5 linked regions of the Sus scrofa genome follow. The protein of the gene in region 2 interacts with the protein of the main gene of each other region in a pairwise test. Links are inferred from orthologs where the notes say so. Each region holds a gene or a part of one and is shown on either strand. Other genes may lie near its edges.

Region 1 (3,474 bases), on a different chromosome or scaffold from region 2:
CAATTTTGCCTAAGGCTGGCACTGAAGGTGATGACACAGGTGAAAAGTTACAGATTGTGCTGAGACTGACAAATAGGTATAGCCTTATGTAAAGTAAATGTAAATCACATAGTTGTAATGCTAGATACAGCCTTTGAGATGCCTTTTAAGCATGAAAAAATGGAGAGTAAGTGATTTGCCCCAAATTGTAAAAGACACAAAACTAGAATCTAAGTCACCTTCCTCCTTGTCCAGTGATATTTTCACCTCAACACAACCATCTCACTTCAAATATTTTAAAATAAGTTAACATGTTAAATGCACTGAAAGAATCATTTTGTTACCATTAATTATTATCTATTTTATAAGCATCAGGTATTCTTAAATATGGACCAGACTTGTAAAGTGTTTATGAAATGTTACTTTAGCCAGTGTTAAGAGAACTAGCCAATACTCAAGATTTTGAAACTTTTTCATTTCATTTAAAAAAAATTAAAATCTTGCTACCCCACCCTAAAATCTCATTAAAAATAATGTTTTTTTTTAAAGTTCTTTTTTTTTTTTTTTTTTTAATTTCAACAAAAGTGATGTTCCTGAGTAGGACTACCACATGGTGACAATGTACCTTGCTGAGCTAACCAAACTCTCTCCTAGTCGCCATTCCTGACCAGCCCAGGCATAACAACACTGGAGGATCACAGGAATGCAGTCCACCTGTGAAGCTCTCAGTGGCGCTCAAAGGTTCACACAAAGCCTGGCCTTTGTAACCTACTAAGCTAACTGGCCCAAATAATCTTTAACATCACTATCAGTAGAATTAAAACTACTTTCAAAGACTGAAGTTCAAGAAAAGATTTAAAGTTATGCTAAGAAAGAGCAATCTGACACAGGGAGACTATATTTAATTCCTATGAAAATTTTTTATACATGTTAAATTTTTTTCAATCATTACAAAAATTTAGTAGCATGTAAATATAGCCCCAAAATGGTTATTATAATCCTCATTACATACTGGGTCTTCCTTAACAGGAGAAGCTATTCAGAGTATTATAGGAATTTATCTAATGCAGAAAGTAAATGGCCTTTTAGTATTTTCCATTGCCTTGTATTTTTTTCCATTTTTTCCCTTTTTATAGAAAAAATATAATATTTTTGGAAACATGACCATGACAAATAGCAGTGGAAAGAAGAAAACCTTTGTGAACAGTGTAACCTTACATTCATACAAGGGTAACTGAAACTACAGGACATGATGCATACGAGATGAATCTATAGGAAGTCCATAAATTCGTGTTCCCTCAATGTTTCAATAAAACCAATCTTGAAATTCCAAGTGAAGTTATAATTAGTAATTGATCCATGTATGTGACCAGATAAAACATAGACTAGGGATGATTTGAAAGGTTCATTAATTTGTTTCACACTAAAGTCCACAATTGGTAAGAAAAATAGGAAGTAATTGACTGCATGCACCAAAAACCCCAAGACAGAAATCTCAGGTGTTCAGTTTCTTTTTCACAGGCATTGCTAGTTCAAAAACCAAAACTCAGGGAATACTGGCACTTAGAGGAAAAAAAGTTTCCACTGTCATTTTAAAATAAGCATTCAAGATAAAAGCTAACAGTATGGATGGAGCAGAAAGAAAATTAGGTAATGCTAAAACAAATGCTAATAATTTAGTGTAATGTACAAAAATTACCACTTTTACTTAAGTATGCCTTAAGAAAAAAGTACAAATTGTATTTACATAATTATACACTTTGTCTTTGACTTCTTTTTCTTCTTTTTACCATCTTTGCTCATCTTTTCTTTATGTTTTCGAATTTCTCGAACTAATGTATAGAAGGCATCGTCAACACCCTGAAACACAAAACAAGTATTAAAATGTGCATGTATGTGATAGTTTGAGGTATACAGATAACAGAAAGGATATATTACTAATAGAAACATTAATACTTGAAAAGAATAAGGATACTTAATATATCTCTTCAGGCAACTAAATATATATCAGACTTATAGGATTCTTAAATGTCTTCGTGGGTATTTTGTTAACATAAATGGGAACACTGATTTTCACAAAAGGCACTGAAAATTAATAGCACAGAATCTTACATATGCTTAACACATGACCTTTTCCCAGAATTTAATTTGTACCGATCTTTCCATACTGGCACACCTCATCACCAAAATTCAAATGTAATTGTGTATATGCGTGAATATGTATTTATACTTAATCATCCCTGAGTGTTTAGACATCTGATAGAAGCCATGCAGTATATACTGTTTTCACTGTGATATTTGAGCTCTTGGCTTAACACTTAAATCCATTAGATTTAAATAACTACCAAGAAGTAAACAGTAGCAGAATATACTTTCAGTTTTCAAATAATATTAAGGCATTAGTTTCAATTCATATACTTATGAGAAGGAAACTGAAAGTGACCACAACACAAGGCACACTACTTTGAAGAATGTAATACCTCGATTTGTGCATAAATAAGCTAAATCATTTAAATGGTGCTGTAGTCTGCTGATTTGGAGAAGATATTTTAAATATACTGGTTTTTAGTTTCTGTTTAAAGTTTGCCATTTAAGTCAAAACACTGTCTCTTCAGAGAAATTTCTACTTGGTCATTTTAGCCTATATCTATTTGTGATCAAAGCAAAGTAACCAAGTCAATAAAAGCTGAAAGTGATTTCAAGTCAGAATAATTTTCAACCTAATCATTCAAACAGAACATGAAAATTGGCACTCTGAAAATGGCAGCAGGACATAAGATTTTAACCCTGAAATACTGAATTACACAAGATCTATACAGAAGTCAATTCTTGTCATATCTCTATTAAAAAGCAAATTAAATATAAAAGTAAAAAATTAAAGAAAAAATACGATCATCTGTGTATTTTAAAATCCGTTCAACTGAGTGGTACTATCAAAAGAAGCCTGTTAACCTAATGTTTTCAAACCTAGACACTAGAGGGAGTCTTAGAAATAAATACACAACAAAGTTGTATAAATCAAGCCACTTTAAGAACAATGAAAACTGGGTTTTTATCCATTTTTTAACCTCTGTTAAATATTAATATAACCACACTTGTTATTATCTTGAGGGTAGTTTAAAATTTGAAAATTCAACAGCAATATGATTTCTCCTTCACTGTACTGCTAAGATCTTCTATAATTAATATTTCACAATAGTAGCAAAATTAATTCAGGCCATTTTCATTCAAGCAATTTAAGTTATTTTCACAACAGATCTAAAATTTAGAAAAGTATTGCCAATATTTTAAAAGAGTTAAACAGTGGGAATGAGAAGCTTGCTAACATTTAAACAACAGCAGTAGTAGGATAAAAACTAGCATTACTGGTCTAAATGCTAGTGGCTAAAAGTCCCCAGTAAAGCCCCCAAACTGCACTCACTGATGTTCCCACTTTGTGATATTACTGGTATAACATATGCTTCTGTTTCACCCAAATGAGAGAGGAAAAGTGTA
Region 2 (3,515 bases):
GGTCTCATACAGGTTCAGGGCCGACTCATTTTCACACTGGGGTGGGACAAAGCAGGACGGATGGTCAGGTCAGCGGCAGCACCTGGGCCACTGGGAGGGCGGGGGGCTGGAGCTCAGAGGATCTCCTGGGCTCGGTGACTTTGGGCTGGAGATGAGACACGAGGGGTCCCCTGAGCAGAAAAAGGTGCTCAGTATGAAAGCCAGGATTGCAGGAGGGGTGCAGACAAATCCTCCTTAGGTCATCTGATGAGCTGAGTAATGACAGCACCTGGTCACACCAAGAGTGTCACCCCCGCGAGCCCTGCCTGGCCGAACCTGCCCATTCTAGAGCTGAGACAACAGAGGCTCGCGCTGGGGTGGGAGGGAGCAGGATCCCAGGACGTGCAGGCTGTTCGGAGCAGCACTTTGGAAACGGCCACAGAAAGGAGCCAGGCCAAGGTCCCCAGCAGCAAAAGCTGACTCAGGGTGCTAACTGGCCTGCCTTCCGAAAAAACGTCGTGCACCTGCCAGGCCCTCTGCGCTGACCTGGAGGGAGGGGTCGGGCTGTGCTCCTTGAGAGCAAGTTGCCGAAGTCTGTGCAGAGCAGCCTGAGCTCTTTAAGGGTAACAAAAAGTCCTACTAAGTGTGGTGCTATAAGGCGTGGCAGAGGTGCAGGACAGACTGACGGCTACTCAGGACAGCAGAAGGCAGCCGTGTTAGACATACTGCAGCGGAGTTCCCGCTGTGGCACAATGGGTTAAGAATCTGCAGCAACTCGGGTCACTGCCGAGGCGCAGGTTCGATCTTGGGCCCAGGAGCTTCCATATGCTGTGTGCGGCTACAAGACTAAAAAAAAAAAAACCCCACGTATTCAGGCAAAACACATACGTAATCCTGGCCTAACATGAAATGAAAATAGTACGAAGGTGTCGTTATTTTTCTTTTGAGAGCAAACTCACTGCACAGAGGTCAGTGACCTGAGCCACTACGGTGACAACCCCCAGATCCTTTTACCACTAGGCCACCCGGGAACCCTGAAAGTGTCTGTTCTGATGTTCATGCAAATGTGTGGACGGCGCGCGTGCACTTGGCCCGGCCCAGGGCTGGGCAGTGGGAGCAGGGCTGGGGGCTCTCAGGCAGGAAAGCCTGGGAGGGAGTCGCCAGGGGTTCTGGGCACGGCGCTTTCCCGCCCCGCGTCCGCACTCACCCCGAGCCAGCGCTGGCCCTTGGTGGCTCCGTGGTGCACCTGGACCTTCCGCAGGGAGATGGAGTACACGACCCCGTTGACCAGCTCCTCGCCAATCTCCTGTGTGGAGCTCTGCAAGGACAGCGTCCAGCCGTTGGTAGGGGTGGCACGGCCTGGCCAACCGCGCTGCCGGCGGATGCCCCCGTGCCACCTTCTGTTCGCCAGATGAGGCGAAGATCAGTGGCCACAGAGCCCTCTGGTCCGGGACGAAATGGGGCGACAGCTAGGGGGCTGGGGCTTACTGTTGGGGCAGGCAGGCGCCGAGCCCCCACCCCCGCCCGCTGGGGCTGCGAGCGAGCAAGATGCACTCACGGGGGGTCCAACCCCACCACAGCCTGTTCCTGCCACCCCCCCAAGACAAGTCCTGCCATGTGGCCATTTCTCAGACAAACACACAGAGGCCGAGTGAAGAGCCCCCGCGCCAAAGCCCCAGCAGACCCGGGAGCCCAGGGCCTGACTCAGCCAACGGCACCTAGGCAGCTCCAGCCCCCCAAGGAGGGAGCCTGCCCACCCTCATTTGCCAGGCTATGCACCACAGCCGCCCTGGCCCTGGTGTCAGCCCCTTGGGTCTGGGGCAGGTGTGGGCATCCTCGACGGCCAAACCAAGGCTACTTCCTTCCCTTTCTGCTCATTCACGTGCGTGTGCTCTCTTGAGCAACAGAGGAATTCCCAGTTCCCTCTGTCATCACGTGCACGGGGACAGCACAAGGACAGCGGTGCTGCCATCTGGGCTAATGGCTGGGGTTCCACACGACCCCGAATCACGGGGGTCATCTGGCTGCTCCCTGGGCCCTGGGCAGAAAGGGGTCCCTAGGAGTAAAGATACAGACATTGAAAGTTTAGGGAGGAGGTGGGAACACCAGATGGCAGAGGGCCATCGGTCACATGGCCAGGGCCACTAGCTGGGACCACAGGTCACTGCCCAACTCAGGGTGGGCACAGAGCTCAGAGAAGCCCCAGCGAAAGAGCTGACTCATCCTGGGTCCCGCTGACAGCCCCTCCCTAAAGCCTTGGCCCAAGGTGGGCCCCTGAGTAGAACCAGGTGCCCAGGGTCTTGTGGGCTGTCCCCCCTGGGCCATCAGCACCCCTGGGGTCAGGGGCCGGGGGGCCTGGGCCTCTTACCTCCTGCCTCAAGGGTGCTGGGAGGGCTCTGGGAGGCCCGGGCCATCCTCCGGAAAGCCACTTCCTCTGACCTGAGGCCTCCCTCCCACCCTGGGCATCGTACCAACGGGAAAGCCGGTGCAATCACGCCAGGCTCCTGACCCTTCACCTCCTCCGCAGAGAAAGCCGGGCATTTCTGGGAAGCTAGCACGGAACCCGTGGGCAGAGCACCCCCGCAATGGGCCCCCCCCCCCCAGCGCACAACAGCCCACGCTGGGGGAGGTCCAACCCTCCCTTCGAGGAGGGGAAATTCCTCCTCCTGATGCAGGAAAACTCTAACAGATGCTCACTTTCTTCCCCGGCCTCACTCATCCCTCCCCTGCCTGGGAGAGGCGGCGGGGATGTCGGGAGCCTGCCGTCCACCTGCCAGACCAGGGCCCTGTCCCCCCACCCCCTGCATCTTCTCAGGGGTCCAGACCGCCTCCTGTGAAGGCTGCGGGCCCTCCTGGAAGGCCTGTCCTCTCCCGGGGATGCCGGGTACATCTGTCCAGCTGGAAGCCAGTGTCCTAAGCACCCAAGTCGCTGGCAGCGGTTTGGAGCGTTTGGCAGCAGGGGGCACTGGACATGAACCCCGTGGGAGCCCGCCCAGCACCTGGCTCCCAGCGGGGCTCCATCAAAGCCTGCTGGACAGAAGTGCCCCCCCGGCCCCCGGCCAGGCCAATGCACGGGGGCCTCGCCATCCCTAAGCGGGTTGAAATAGCGGCTCTGCAGTGAGCCATGGGCCTCGCTGGCAGCCAAGCAGCTGGCTGGCCCTGCCTGGGTGTCATGTGATCCCCGAGCCCTTCCCCCACCCCAAGGGGCCCCTTCTGCCAGCCGGGTGGGGGGCAGGGCAGGACGCTGAGAGCCACACATGCTGGGCCAGGGGAGTCAACGCCCTGTCACACAGATGGGGGCTCCTCCAGCCCCAAGGAGCTAACCCCGTCCTCCCCGGTCCCGTCACGGTCCCTTCACGGCGGCGGCAGCAGGAGGAACAAAACCAGACCGTCAGAGCAGCGCTGAGAGCAGGCGCCATTTAAACCAACTACAAGAGCCAAGAGCGGAGCGGGCTCCGAGAGAGCTGCCAGGTCCTGGGCACCAAGTGGCAGCGTGGGGCACTGCTCCCTGCTCCCACCGCTCTTCCAGGGACGGA
Region 3 (4,085 bases), on a different chromosome or scaffold from region 2:
AACATATTAAGTCTTTGGGAAAATGATACATGCATACCAGTAAGATCCTGATATTCAATAATAAAACTGCCTATTTACACTGATGAAAATAAAATGACACCTTTGCAAAATCAGCCAAGTTCTTTTTGTATCAGATCCAGTTTACCTACTTAATTTCACTTAACAAATGTTGATCAAATATCTACAACCAAAGTCAGAGAAAACTGAATACAGACAGCGTCTCATCCAAAACTTAAGACTATGTATTTGTGACAACATGTAAAATTAGTTACCATGTTATCAGTTTCTATACAGGCTTCTACCAATCATGAATACAAAGTTCTCTTCAAACATCATCTCTTTAAATGTTTGTTACAGGTAATCCCTAAATCTAAATGCTAAATACCAGGTGTACAGGCAAGGTTCTAGGAACTAAGATACAGTAGGGAATGAAATGGATCAAGACCCTACCCTCATGGCACTTACATTTAACAAACTGGTACTGTCTTAGTGCAAGGTACCACGTCAGTGTTTTGGAGCATACAAAGAACATATCCTGTCCACGGAATTTACAATTTAGAGGGATAACAAAAACACATAATAATAACAGAAGGTAGGAAGTGATACTTGTAGAAAGAGAGGGTGGTAGGGGGCAGAAAGATGAGCAATCATTTTCATGAATCCATACCATATTTAAAAGTTAATTCAGCTTATTACTGGGTTCTTCAGTTGTATTCTCATACCTGGCACATTAAAACCAAACTGGATACATGTGTTTCAAAGATTTACTTTTAGCCTTCTTCAGATAAGGCAGCCTCACAATTTATTATGAATGACAAAAAGAAAATGCAAGTGAAAACACTTTTTTTCGTAGTGCTGAGATCAAAAGCTTGGATGGGCTCAAATAAGACCAGCTATCATTCAGGGCTCTGTGTTCTCAAAATTATTTAATCATTCTGGGTATCAATTTCCTCTCTTAAAACCTGGTAATGAAACAACCAAATGGTCCTTCCACACTGTTTGACTAAGTAAGGTGCCCCTCTTTTTGGAGTATGATGGGACTACTATCCTCTGGAAAAGGTAATTCATATAAAAAATGTCATTTTTTTCCCTCCAAATTCTCTATAATGGACAGACTACAGTCCTAAAAGTCAGCAAGACCACTGACTAGTTACCTTATCTTTTCTAGGCCTCAGTTTCCTCCACTGTAAAATGAGAGGGTGGGACTGGATGATCTAAATAGTCTTTTCCGGCCTTAACTTACAAAGTCCCATGACTCCATTATGACTCAAATACTATTCAAGGATCAGCTTTTAGAAGCCAAAGGAGCTTGAAGTTAAATGAACATCTCCCTTTTTTATGTTACTTCTTGCTAAGATAAGGTTTGTCAAGTACAAGCAGCACTATAATTGCAAAAAAAGAGGGTTAAAAATGAAGTTACAAGTTGGGAACTTTAAGTTATGAGCACTTGTTCTGTATTAGATGTTATGCTACTAGCAAAACAAAAATCTAATCAGGCTGAATCAATTGAAAAATATTAAAATCACAATCTCCATTTAGTGTCAACTTCTACCCCATTAAAAACGAGATTTCCCCTTACAGTAACATAGAACTGCAGAACAAAAATGTTCTAAACTAATAAAAGGGGGTGGGGGAACAGGCAAAGGGGAAACGAATCGTCTGCTTAAATTCACCAAGGATGATCTTTTCTCTAAAAGCCATCGGTTTTTTTCGGAAGAAAAATTCAGATGGCCCGATTCTCTGGGAATAGTTTTAAAAGATTCATGGCGCTGACAGTTTTAGAATTAGACACATCGAGATGGCGAAAAAGAGGACAAACTTCCTGGATTTTCTCTCCCTCTGTAAGAGAAAGAGATTTCCTCTTGCTGACGAAGGGAAAGGCCCCTTTAACAGTTTTTCTCTACGCGGTGGCTGCTGCCAGACTAGGTGGGGCTCCCTCCGCTGCCTTCCTCCTGCCACTTCCCGCAACAAATGGAGCAAGCCAACCCCGTTTCAGGCAAACTTTTCCCCTGTCAAGCTCAAGCCCGCAGGGCGTCGGAGAGTGGTTTCCCCAGAACGCTCCTCACCCCTGCTCGGGACTAGGGGAAGCTGGGTCTTCGCAAAGGACAACTTTCTGGTTTCCGTTCTAACTTGCACTCACACCCGGGAAGGAACGGAGACGGCGAGCGAGGGGGCCAGGGGCGGGGGGACGAGTCTTCCGGGGAGCTGTACGGAACGGCGGGCAGTGGGAGAGGCTGCGGCGGCTGCGGGCAGGAGGGAGCAGGCGGGTGGGGGGGTCCTCGGGCTCTCACTTCCTCCGCCATATTTCAGACATTTGACCCCTTCCGCAAAGCGCGCTGATTCCCCGCGGCGGCCGCGGCGGCTGGTCCCCACCGGCCTGGGAGGCAGCGCCCTCACCCGCACGGCGCCGGGCCCTCGCACCACCTGCCGCGCGCCGAGGCTGCCATCGCCGCCGCCGCCCGGGCCCCCTGACCGCCGCGCGCGCCCCGCCCGGCCCGCGCCGCACCCCACCCGCTCCCCTTAGCCGGCGCCCGGCCCCCGCCTCGCGCTGCCGCTCCCCTCTGCAGCCACGCACGCACTATGCTAACCTCTCACGCTGTCACCGGGTCGCCGCAGCCAGCGTCGCCTCGCGTTCCCTCCGGGTCGCTGCTCCCGGCGCCACGGCGGTCCTGCTGCTGCCGCTGCCGCCGCCGCCGCTCCGGCTGGTTTACACGCCTGACTCTGGGCGAGGTTTGGCGGTGTCGCCTTGACGTCAGGCGTTCAGCCTCGCTCTCGCTTCCGTCCGCGGGCGGGGCGCGCGGGAGCGCGGCCCGGAAAGGGGCGGGGCCTAGGGCGGGGCGAGGGGAGCCGAGGGGCGGAGTCTTCCGCGGCGCCGCAGCGCAAACCGGACGCGCGCGGCGCCCTTCGCGGCATTTTCTCAGCGGCGTTTCTCTCTGTTCCGCACCGCCCCGTCGGCCTTGCTTTGGCTTCCTAGACCCTAGCGGGTTACGTTGCTGCGAGGGGCTTAGAAACCCTCCGAAACTCAAAAGGTGCATCTAAAGCAAACTGTAATCCAGTCGCCAACACTACCAGTTGGTGGTCGCTTATTCCTTTGTGCTGGGGAAAGTAGCTGGAAAAGTAGCAAGGAGCAGTTTCCACACCCAGAGGTCCGGTGAAGGCTCCTAGGCTAGGGCACAGTCTTTTTCATTCTTGAAATGGTTTCTCTTGAATTGTCAAGTATCTTTTCTACCGGTGTCTTAACCCAGGACAACTCTTTCCAAATTACCCTGCCAAACGGAGTTAACTAACCTATGAGGCCAAACAACTTTGTACTCTGTACCTAAATCAGCTATTTATCTGAGTTAAATAGCATAAATACATGACTCTGGCACTTTAAAGGGTTACCCACAGGTAGGTTTATGATGTATTTACTGGGCAACAGAAAGCACTTTCTGTTCCCAAAATGCCTTGTTCTAAAAAAGGCAGTAACTTAAGAGAATTTACCATTATTAGAGAAAAGGCTAAAATTAGAACTACCCTTTATAAAAGGTATTAGCTTTTTTATGAAACTAAGTTTTGAAGGGCAAAAAGATTCAGAGAGAGCAAAGTGCAGGGAAAAGTAGGGAGTGAGAGGGTCATTAAAGACTTTTGCTTAGTTCATAGTTTAACTGCCTTGTTATAAGGTATGGCCCTAAGAAGAAAAAAAAAATGCTAGTAATTGAAAACTAAGTTAAAGGAATAATTAAAAATGAATTATAATTATCCTAAGTTTTCTGTATGTAAGTGCTTTCTAGGTGTTTCACAATTTAGGTTAATTGAATATGTTACATATTTCGGTAATTTCTCTTTCCTTAGAAAAACTTTTTTCTTTTTTTTTTGTCTTTTTGCCTTTCCTAGGTCCACTCCTGCGACATACGGAGGGTCCCAGGCTAGCGGTCTAATCAGAGCTGTAGCCGCTGGCCCACACCAGAGCCACAGCAATGCCAGATCTGAGCCGCGTCTGCAACCTACAGCACAGCTCAGGGCAACGCCAGATCCCTAACCCACTGAGCAAGGCCAGGGACCAAACCTGCAACCTCATGGTTCCTAGTTGGATTCATTAACCA
Region 4 (4,120 bases), on a different chromosome or scaffold from region 2:
AGCGTCATAAGCTAAGATTAATATAGTAACAACAATTAATAATGTTTGTAGCCTTACTATGCACTAGACATTGTTCTGGGCTCTGAACCTATGTTAACTCATTTAAATTTTCACAACTGTATGTGGTACTTTGTATTTTCCCAGTTCACAGATGGGCAAAACTAAGGTAGGGAGAGATTAATTTGGGTAAGATGACACATGCAGCACGTGGTAGAGCTGAGAGTTGATCCAGGTCTAGCTCCTACCTCTCCAGAGAGCCTCCTCAAAGTCAGGGTCTCAGTTCCACCTTTTCACTGGCCTATCCCACACCCCTCCTTTCCTGCCTCCTCTCTCCAAGCTGCCATACTACTCCCCCACTACTCCCACTCATATAAGACATGCCCCCTCTTTCCACCATCTCGTCTTCACAAAACTTTTCTCAATCCTTCCCAAACTGACTTTTCCCAATCCTGAAGATCCTTTGCATTTATGTTACAGAAGTGTACATACAGCCACCGCTAATGGAGCACATACTACATACTAGATACAAGACTAAAGAAGTTCCCGCAATTTAAAGGATTATGAAGAATGTGTGATCAGACCCATTTCACTGAAAAGAAAATTAAGGTTCAATGTTCTCTAGCTGTAAGTACATGACTCATGCATACATGCCTCCTTTACTTCTTTTAGATCATCTAAGTACATGTCTAGTCATAAAAGAGGTGTTTCTTAAAACAAATGAATTCTAGAAAATCATTAGCAATGAAGTTATTTTCATGGTTTCTAATAATATTTCCAAAAACAAAAGGCTTCAATACCTTAATAATTAACTTGCAGGTTCAAATGCATTCAGATGGCCCCTCCCCCCAAAAAACTCAAGAAATATTTGTGGTTGAAGTCTTTTAGCTAACACTCTTTATTAATACTGGAACCCAGGATTATTCTCTCACTCCTCACCAACATCCCACACGTCCCCAAAGAAAGAGTTAGCTATAAATTGTTTTTGCTTTGCTATCAGCTATAAATTGTTTTGCTTTGCTATCAGTTAAAGTCTCTCTTGGCCCTAGGGGAAATAGCAACATGACGGCATCCCTGATTCTGTCAGCCTGCTAAACTAAAACCAATCTCACCTCTTAGTGTGATTTTCTTAACCCACTAATGAGCATACTGTAAATGTTCATTATACATAAACATCTCCTCTTCCGGGATACAAAGGTTTTAGCAGCAGTTTTTAATACCCTGAAATAGTATAGCAGCAATTATTGTTCATTTAGTCAATGTGAAAGGTTTTATGCTACATTTATGCTACAGTACTTTGTATTTTAATGTCAATATAAGCGAAACGAAATAAGCTATTCAGGTACCCCAACTGAAAACAATGGGTAAAACAAATATTTCATCAAACCATCTTAACAATACTCTTCATATATATTGAGAGTATCTTTGTTACCTGTTATAACGCAGTACTTTCATTCTCTCCCAGCACATGCCACACCTTTCAGGTTGACAAAAGCAGAAAGACATGTAGGTTTCTCTTTTTACCAGTCTCAAAAAGAGATCACGCAAACCTCCTACCAAGAGCAAAGCCTAAGAATCAAGAATTCCATCTCCCCTTCCTTTACAACCCTGGCTTTCCGCCTCCAACTACCAGAGAGGGTTGGGAGTGGAGGAGAGAACGATAGGAACAGACACGGAACACGCGACTCGGTCGGTCGGTCATCTCCTAGCCTGGCCCACCCTAAACTTCACCTTGGCACAGCGAGAAGCAGGAAGGCACCAGGAATTCCTAGGAAATGGTCTCAGCCCTATCGGAGAACATTCTTAACTTCCTCGAGGCCACCATTTCCCTGGGGCATTATTACACACTCCCACCCAGACACATTACCTAAGAGACTACTTAAAAGAAATGCACAAACACACAAAGAGAAAACACTCGGCTAGAAGCGGGCAGCCCCCGCTCAGCGTGCGCGGAGAAGCCCAAACACCACGCGGAGCCGCAGCCAAGTTGCCTCCGCGATCGCACCCACCGTGCAGGAGGCGGCCGGGGCGGCTGGAAACCCAGAGCGCGGGGCTCCAGCCCCACGCCCTAAGCCCGGCGCCCCGACTTCGGGGCAGGAAACCCGGTGCTACGGCGCTACCTCTCCCGAAGGGCTCGGGCCACGCCGGAGCGATAAGGTGGATCTGCGCTACCCTCCCAGCTCCGCCCTCCCGGACACATTCCTGAGAAGCCCGACTCCCCCGACGCCAAGCAGGGCGCCCAGCAGGCAGGAGCCGGGCGCCCAGACCGCAGTGCAGAAAGGCAGAGCCGGCCCCGCGCCCCCCTGCCCGCCCGCCCCCAGCCCGCTCGGCGCCTCCGGGCGGGGTCCCCGCTGCCGCCCCGCCACAGGTAGAGCAAGCCCCCGCCCGCCGCCGCCCCGGCGCCCCCGGCAGGCCCGTTCCAGGTACCTGGATGAACTGGATGGTGAGCGCCGACTTGCCCACGCCGCCTCCACCGACCACCACGAGCCGGTACTTCTCTTGGCCAGAGCCGTCCCGCCAGCCGGCCGCGGCCATGGGGACGCCGCCGAACCCAGCCCAGCCACGCCGAGCCGCCGCCCGCCCTAGGCCCGGCTCCGGGGACGTGTGCGGCCGGCGGGCTGCGGGCGAGCGGCCGGGCGAGGGTCCCCGGCGCCGGGAGCTTCAGGAGGGCCGGTCCGGGCGGCAGCGCGGCGCCCAGGCTGGCCAGGTCCGGCAGGAGGCGCGGAGAAGCGGGGTGACCGCAGGGGCGAGGGTCGCAGCGTCCGGGGGGCGCGCTCCTCCACACGTCTCTGCAGCGCCTGCCGAACGCAGCCTCCAGCGCCGCTACAAATGGCCGTCTGGGGGCCGGGCCGCCAGGCTGAGGTGCTGCATATGCATGAGGGGGCGGAGCGAGGCAGGGCTGCGCTGGCCTAGGCTGATATTCAGGAGCTGACCGAGGGCTCGGTCCCTGAAGACTTGTGTTTCCATTCCCTTGACTGTGAGTGGACGTGTGCACGCGTGTGCGTGCGTGAGTGAATGGGTGTGTGAGAACGAGTGTAAAAGTGGGCGTCAAGCGGGAGTGGGAAGAAAACAGTAAGCAGTGCGTAACCATAATTGTGTTTGTCAGGGATTGTGTGGATGAAAAATACAGTATGCAAAGGCGTGTGTGAAAAATGAAGCTGTTGTCATCTTAACTCAGTTTGTAGGAGGGCAAATATCCTGTTTTGAGAGTGCAGATGGTGACCATGACTGTATGTAAAACAGTATATGACAGTGATTGAAGATTAGAGCTGTCACAATAATTGTGTGTGTGATAGGCTTGTGGTGGTTACCCTGTATGAGGAATGTCACAGAGACAGAACCAAGTGATTGAGGGCACGTGGACAAGAGTATATGTGGCACATTTTGTATCTGACGGGAGGGTGTCTTATTGGCTATGTCTATATGTGAGAAATATGCAGTAATTTTATTCAAGGGGATGAGTGTGGGAGATTAGTTTATACATATTTTCACACTACATTGCAGGCACTGTGCTTAGCGCTACAAATCCTTTCATAAACAAAATAATGTCCCTGCCCTCAGGGAACTAAGAGTCCAGTGGGGAAACAGCCAGGACAACAGGCATATTGTCAGGCATAATGATAAGTGCTGTAACTAAAGGCACCATGTGGCTTCTATGCTCTTCTGGAGGAGAAGCACTCACTCTGGAGTTGGGTGGTCAGCAAAGGCTTCCTAAAAGACCTGAAGAACAAATAATGTAGACAGATGAATCACTGGAAGAAATGTATTCCAGGGGAAGCAAACCACATATGCAAAAGTCAGAGCTGTTCCCTTGTGATACAGCAGGTTAAGGCATTGTCACTGCAGTGGCTTGGGTTGCTGCTGTGGCTGAGGCTCATTCTCGGTCCCAGGAACATGCCACAAGTGCAGCTAAAAAAAAAAAAGTCAAAGCTGAAATGGTTAGACTTGTGTCACATGATTTTGATTGTGCTGGGGGAGTGTGCTTGTAGATGAAAAGTGTTTGCAAATGAAAAGTGATTACCTATGTGTATGGCAGTTTAACCAAATGTAACAAGGATCCCAGCTGTATACAGAGACATTATAAGGTAATAGATGAGACCGTGAGCTCTGGGGACAGAATGTC
Region 5 (3,515 bases), on a different chromosome or scaffold from region 2:
GTGCCAAGTGATTTATAATCACTATTGCATTTGATCACTACAAGCACCCTATAATGTACTAACGTCATTATACTCATTTAAGGATGTGAAAAATTAGGCTCAAAATAATCCTAAAGACTTTTGGTCAGAAATACATATCTGTCACCAGAGATGTTAAAATGCTAATAAACCTTGAGATGTTAAAAGTGCTACTAAACCAATTTTTAAAAAAATGAATGACCGTGATCTGAATTTAAAATGCCTTTTTTTTTCTTTTCTTAGAAAGCAGTAATAGCACAATTTTTACCTCAATACAGGGAAAAGAAATTCAACACACAGATTCTGCAGATGAGCTCAACATCTAACACTGATATGTGAGCATTAAGTACATCATAGATAGTGCCACCCACATAAGAAAATTTAAGAAGTCCTACACAGAGACCAAGTTCTTAATCAGAATAAATGCTTTTACTCAGAGGAACCGTTCAGGCGACAAAAACCTATTCACAAATTAAAATCGATCACAAAAAGAGAAAACATGCTTACCGTTCCCGCTGTATCCAGGATTTCGAGCATACACTGTTGGCAGTCTACTTCAACTTGCTGTTGGGGTAGGGTGCGGGGGTGGAGGGGGATGAAAAAGTAACATCAAAATGTCAGTCTGTTTTCCTCCCACTTCTTTGCTCAAAGTACCTATTAACAACTACAAAGCCTTTCTCTAGCAGTTTCCTGTATCGGTGGAGATCTAACTTGGTGCTACAATAAAGAACAGGAGGTCTCAAACACATTCTATTAATACTACAAAGCCAGGACTGCTGATGCTGAGTTTAGGCATTTTCTGACCACTATGAACACTGAGTACTGATTTGTGTTGTTATTAAAAGGCAACGGTCATACCCTGTAATTTAAGAAAAACTATAACCAACAGGTATAATTCTAACAGGGGAAAAATGGATAAAGTATGTATATTTATATTCTCTTCAAAACAAAGCACACAAGTACTAAATAGTTCAAAATATAGCCAAGACTGGGAGGGTAAAGAAAACTTTGCCAACTTACCACATTCAAGCTGTTAGAGTTTTACTAAACAATGCCCCAAATTTAACACACAGGAGCATTAATTTAAGAGTTAAAAGGGAACACAGAATAACACTGAACTCCTACAGCTCTCAAGACTTCTACGTCTTTGGAAAAACTGTGTGCATAAGGCAAACTTTTAGATACTGGGTTCTACTTTCCCAGTGTTGCACAGAAGAGAAGGTTGGCCTAAAGCAAGTATCAACTATTAACCGTGTGGACATTTTTTAATAAAGAAGGGATTTAGAAAAGTGTAAAATCTTTGACATTCAAGGTACAGATCTTTGTTTGCAGTTAATGCTTTAACCAGCAACTGATTTGGGGGAAATTTCAGTAATGCAACACTGTCTTCTAAAAATAGACATACTGACCTAAGGACTATTTTAAACTCTGCTTCTGTGTCACATCAGGGATTGATGAGGAGCACGATGGGTAGAGTCCCAAACTCCACTGTTCCATTGTTTACGGGACTAAAGTGATAATAATCTGCCCTCTCTGTGAATGCGTATGTTCAACGAATAATGAATTCACTCTGTGGTTTCTCAATGTACCACCATTTGGTTTCCAATTTACAGATAATGAAACTGCTATTCCGGTAGGCTTGAAGAATTTAATTCAACAGAAATTATAGCACTATTTAAGGTAAATTTTAACATCCAACAAAGCAATTCTTTCTCATTTGTTGGAAGGGAGGTTTAATCTTTTTTTTTTTTTTTTTCTTTAATGTATCGTTGGCTACTAGGCTTTCTTACAACACTGTCTCCCTCCCTACCGCTGCCCCCACCATACTTGGGAAATAAAGACTTGAAAATTCTCCACAATTCCAGCTAGTTTTCTAATTAAATAGAACAGTATTTTTTTGTCAAGACCAACTACTTAAATTTCTTTTCCTTTTAAACAAACTTTACTTTTTAGAAAGCAGTTTTAGGTTCACAGCAAAACAGCAGAAAAAGTAGAGTTCCCACATACCATTTTCCTGTTCCCCGCTAGCCTCCCCCACCATCGGCATCCTGCACCAAAGTGGTACATTTGTGAAAATCAGTGAACCTGCATTTGCACCATTATCATGCAAAGTCCATAGTCTGCAGTTTTACTCTTGATGTTGTACATGCTACAGGTTAAGACAAATGTATGAGGCCATGTATCTACACTAAATTATTACACAGACTCCAACTGTCTAATTTTTTATAGTCTAAAGGTGAAATATCTTTAAAGTTATTATATAATTAAACAAAAATAACTTTCAGTCACTGGATAACCTCAAGTATAAAGTGATCTTAATTTTAGTTCACACAAAGAGTCATCAAAAATATACCTACTATTTATATGCAATTTTTCTATATTAAAAAAAAAGGCCACCAAGAAAATGGGTATATTAAAGGACTGATTACATTAATCAGCGAGAGAATGTGGAGCTCTCTTTAGCTAAGCAATATTCTACGAAAAATACCACGTCTTGGTGAAACTTTTAAAAACAGATACAGAACATTGGGTCATTTCTCAGAACTATTTTTAAAAAAGCAATTCCAGGGATCAAGTTTTAAAGTCATAAGAAACTACTTGTAAGCATGAGCATACACGTTTCACATTTTACCTTTCTGTAGGAATCTTCTATCGTTGGGTCATATTTTTCCACAAAAATTCCCTGAACAAATTGAACGGTCTAAAAAAAAAAAAAGCAGACAAAAGTTAAGGACTTAAAAGAAAAATCAGCCCCTCTTAAATGTTACTTAACCTTGCAAAATCGCAACGATTAAATGAAATTATGTGAAAACTCTGGTAAAAATGCAAATTGTAAAGTATCATTATTTTTCAATATAAGGATACATTCATAATTAAGAGTATACTTAGGAAAGGAAGTGGTTGTGTTAAAAACTGTCAGCAATGCTGCTGCTGACATTACACTGTTAAAATAATTACTACATTAAGTTTCAAAGTACAATGAAGATACAAATAAGATACATATAAGGATATGGATTCTAATTTATTAAAATGTGAAAATTTATCAGTATTTAAAGTCTTATTACTCCTTTATGAATCTGTAGCAATTTTTATCTTATGCCCTCAAAGGAGAGACTGTAAATTTTAAACAGTCTTCAAACAGCCTTTCTAATTGTGGGGGAAAATCAAGTTTTTCTGATTTGCCAGCTGAAATTCAAAAGTATCCCTTCCTGATTTCAAACCCTTGTTCTTTTCATTGGAAGACACTATACACCCATCTTTTTCAGATCATCTACTTTTATCTCTTAAATTTCTATAAGACTAGATATTTTGTCATTCCGTAAATGAAAAGAAGGACAGAAGGTAGTTGCGAGATATTTCCTGAACAGCTGGCACATCACTGCCTAAAAGCAAGGGTAAAAATGTGGCCTGAGGTCATCCACACTACAATTAGCCAGAGGAATATAAATGCACTATTTTAGCTTGAGCTAAATAGATTAACCTGAAGATAGCAAGCT

What was found.
Region 1: the proteins of RALGDS (region 2) and KRAS interact in a two-hybrid assay, tested with the Homo sapiens proteins (3 studies listed by BioGRID and IntAct). The link is inferred for Sus scrofa from reciprocal best matches to the Homo sapiens genes RALGDS and KRAS.
Region 3: the proteins of RALGDS (region 2) and RAP1B interact in binary tests that used the Homo sapiens proteins (3 or more experiments, as listed by UniProt). The link is inferred for Sus scrofa from reciprocal best matches to the Homo sapiens genes RALGDS and RAP1B.
Region 4: the proteins of RALGDS (region 2) and RRAS2 interact in a two-hybrid assay, tested with the Homo sapiens proteins (2 studies listed by BioGRID and IntAct). The link is inferred for Sus scrofa from reciprocal best matches to the Homo sapiens genes RALGDS and RRAS2.
Region 5: the proteins of RALGDS (region 2) and RAP1A interact in a two-hybrid assay, tested with the Homo sapiens proteins (3 studies listed by BioGRID and IntAct). The link is inferred for Sus scrofa from reciprocal best matches to the Homo sapiens genes RALGDS and RAP1A.

What each region holds. Positions count from the first base shown.
Region 1 is NC_010447.5:48,543,273-48,546,746, reverse strand, and holds the end of KRAS (GTPase KRas), read right to left. Parts: intron 1,840-3,474; coding exon 1,723-1,839; 3' UTR 507-1,722; downstream 1-506. UniProt on the Homo sapiens protein: Ras proteins bind GDP/GTP and possess intrinsic GTPase activity. Plays an important role in the regulation of cell proliferation.
Region 2 is NC_010443.5:272,789,978-272,793,492, forward strand, and holds part of RALGDS (ral guanine nucleotide dissociation stimulator), read right to left. Parts: intron 1,298-3,515; coding exon 1,187-1,297; intron 37-1,186; coding exon 1-36. UniProt on the Homo sapiens protein: Functions as a guanine nucleotide exchange factor (GEF) activating either RalA or RalB GTPases and plays an important role in intracellular transport. Interacts and acts as an effector molecule for R-Ras, H-Ras, K-Ras, and Rap.
Region 3 is NC_010447.5:32,908,901-32,912,985, reverse strand, and holds the start of RAP1B (ras-related protein Rap-1b), read right to left. Parts: upstream 2,806-4,085; 5' UTR 2,589-2,805; intron 1-2,588. UniProt on the Homo sapiens protein: GTP-binding protein that possesses intrinsic GTPase activity. Contributes to the polarizing activity of KRIT1 and CDH5 in the establishment and maintenance of correct endothelial cell polarity and vascular lumen.
Region 4 is NC_010444.4:44,888,831-44,892,950, reverse strand, and holds the start of RRAS2 (ras-related protein R-Ras2), read right to left. Parts: upstream 2,816-4,120; 5' UTR 2,533-2,815; coding exon 2,425-2,532; intron 2,287-2,424; exon of another isoform or gene 2,007-2,286; intron 1-2,006. UniProt on the Homo sapiens protein: GTP-binding protein with GTPase activity, involved in the regulation of MAPK signaling pathway and thereby controlling multiple cellular processes. Regulates craniofacial development.
Region 5 is NC_010446.5:108,688,446-108,691,960, forward strand, and holds part of RAP1A (ras-related protein Rap-1A), read right to left. Parts: intron 2,720-3,515; coding exon 2,651-2,719; intron 583-2,650; coding exon 526-582; intron 1-525. UniProt on the Homo sapiens protein: Counteracts the mitogenic function of Ras, at least partly because it can interact with Ras GAPs and RAF in a competitive manner. Together with ITGB1BP1, regulates KRIT1 localization to microtubules and membranes.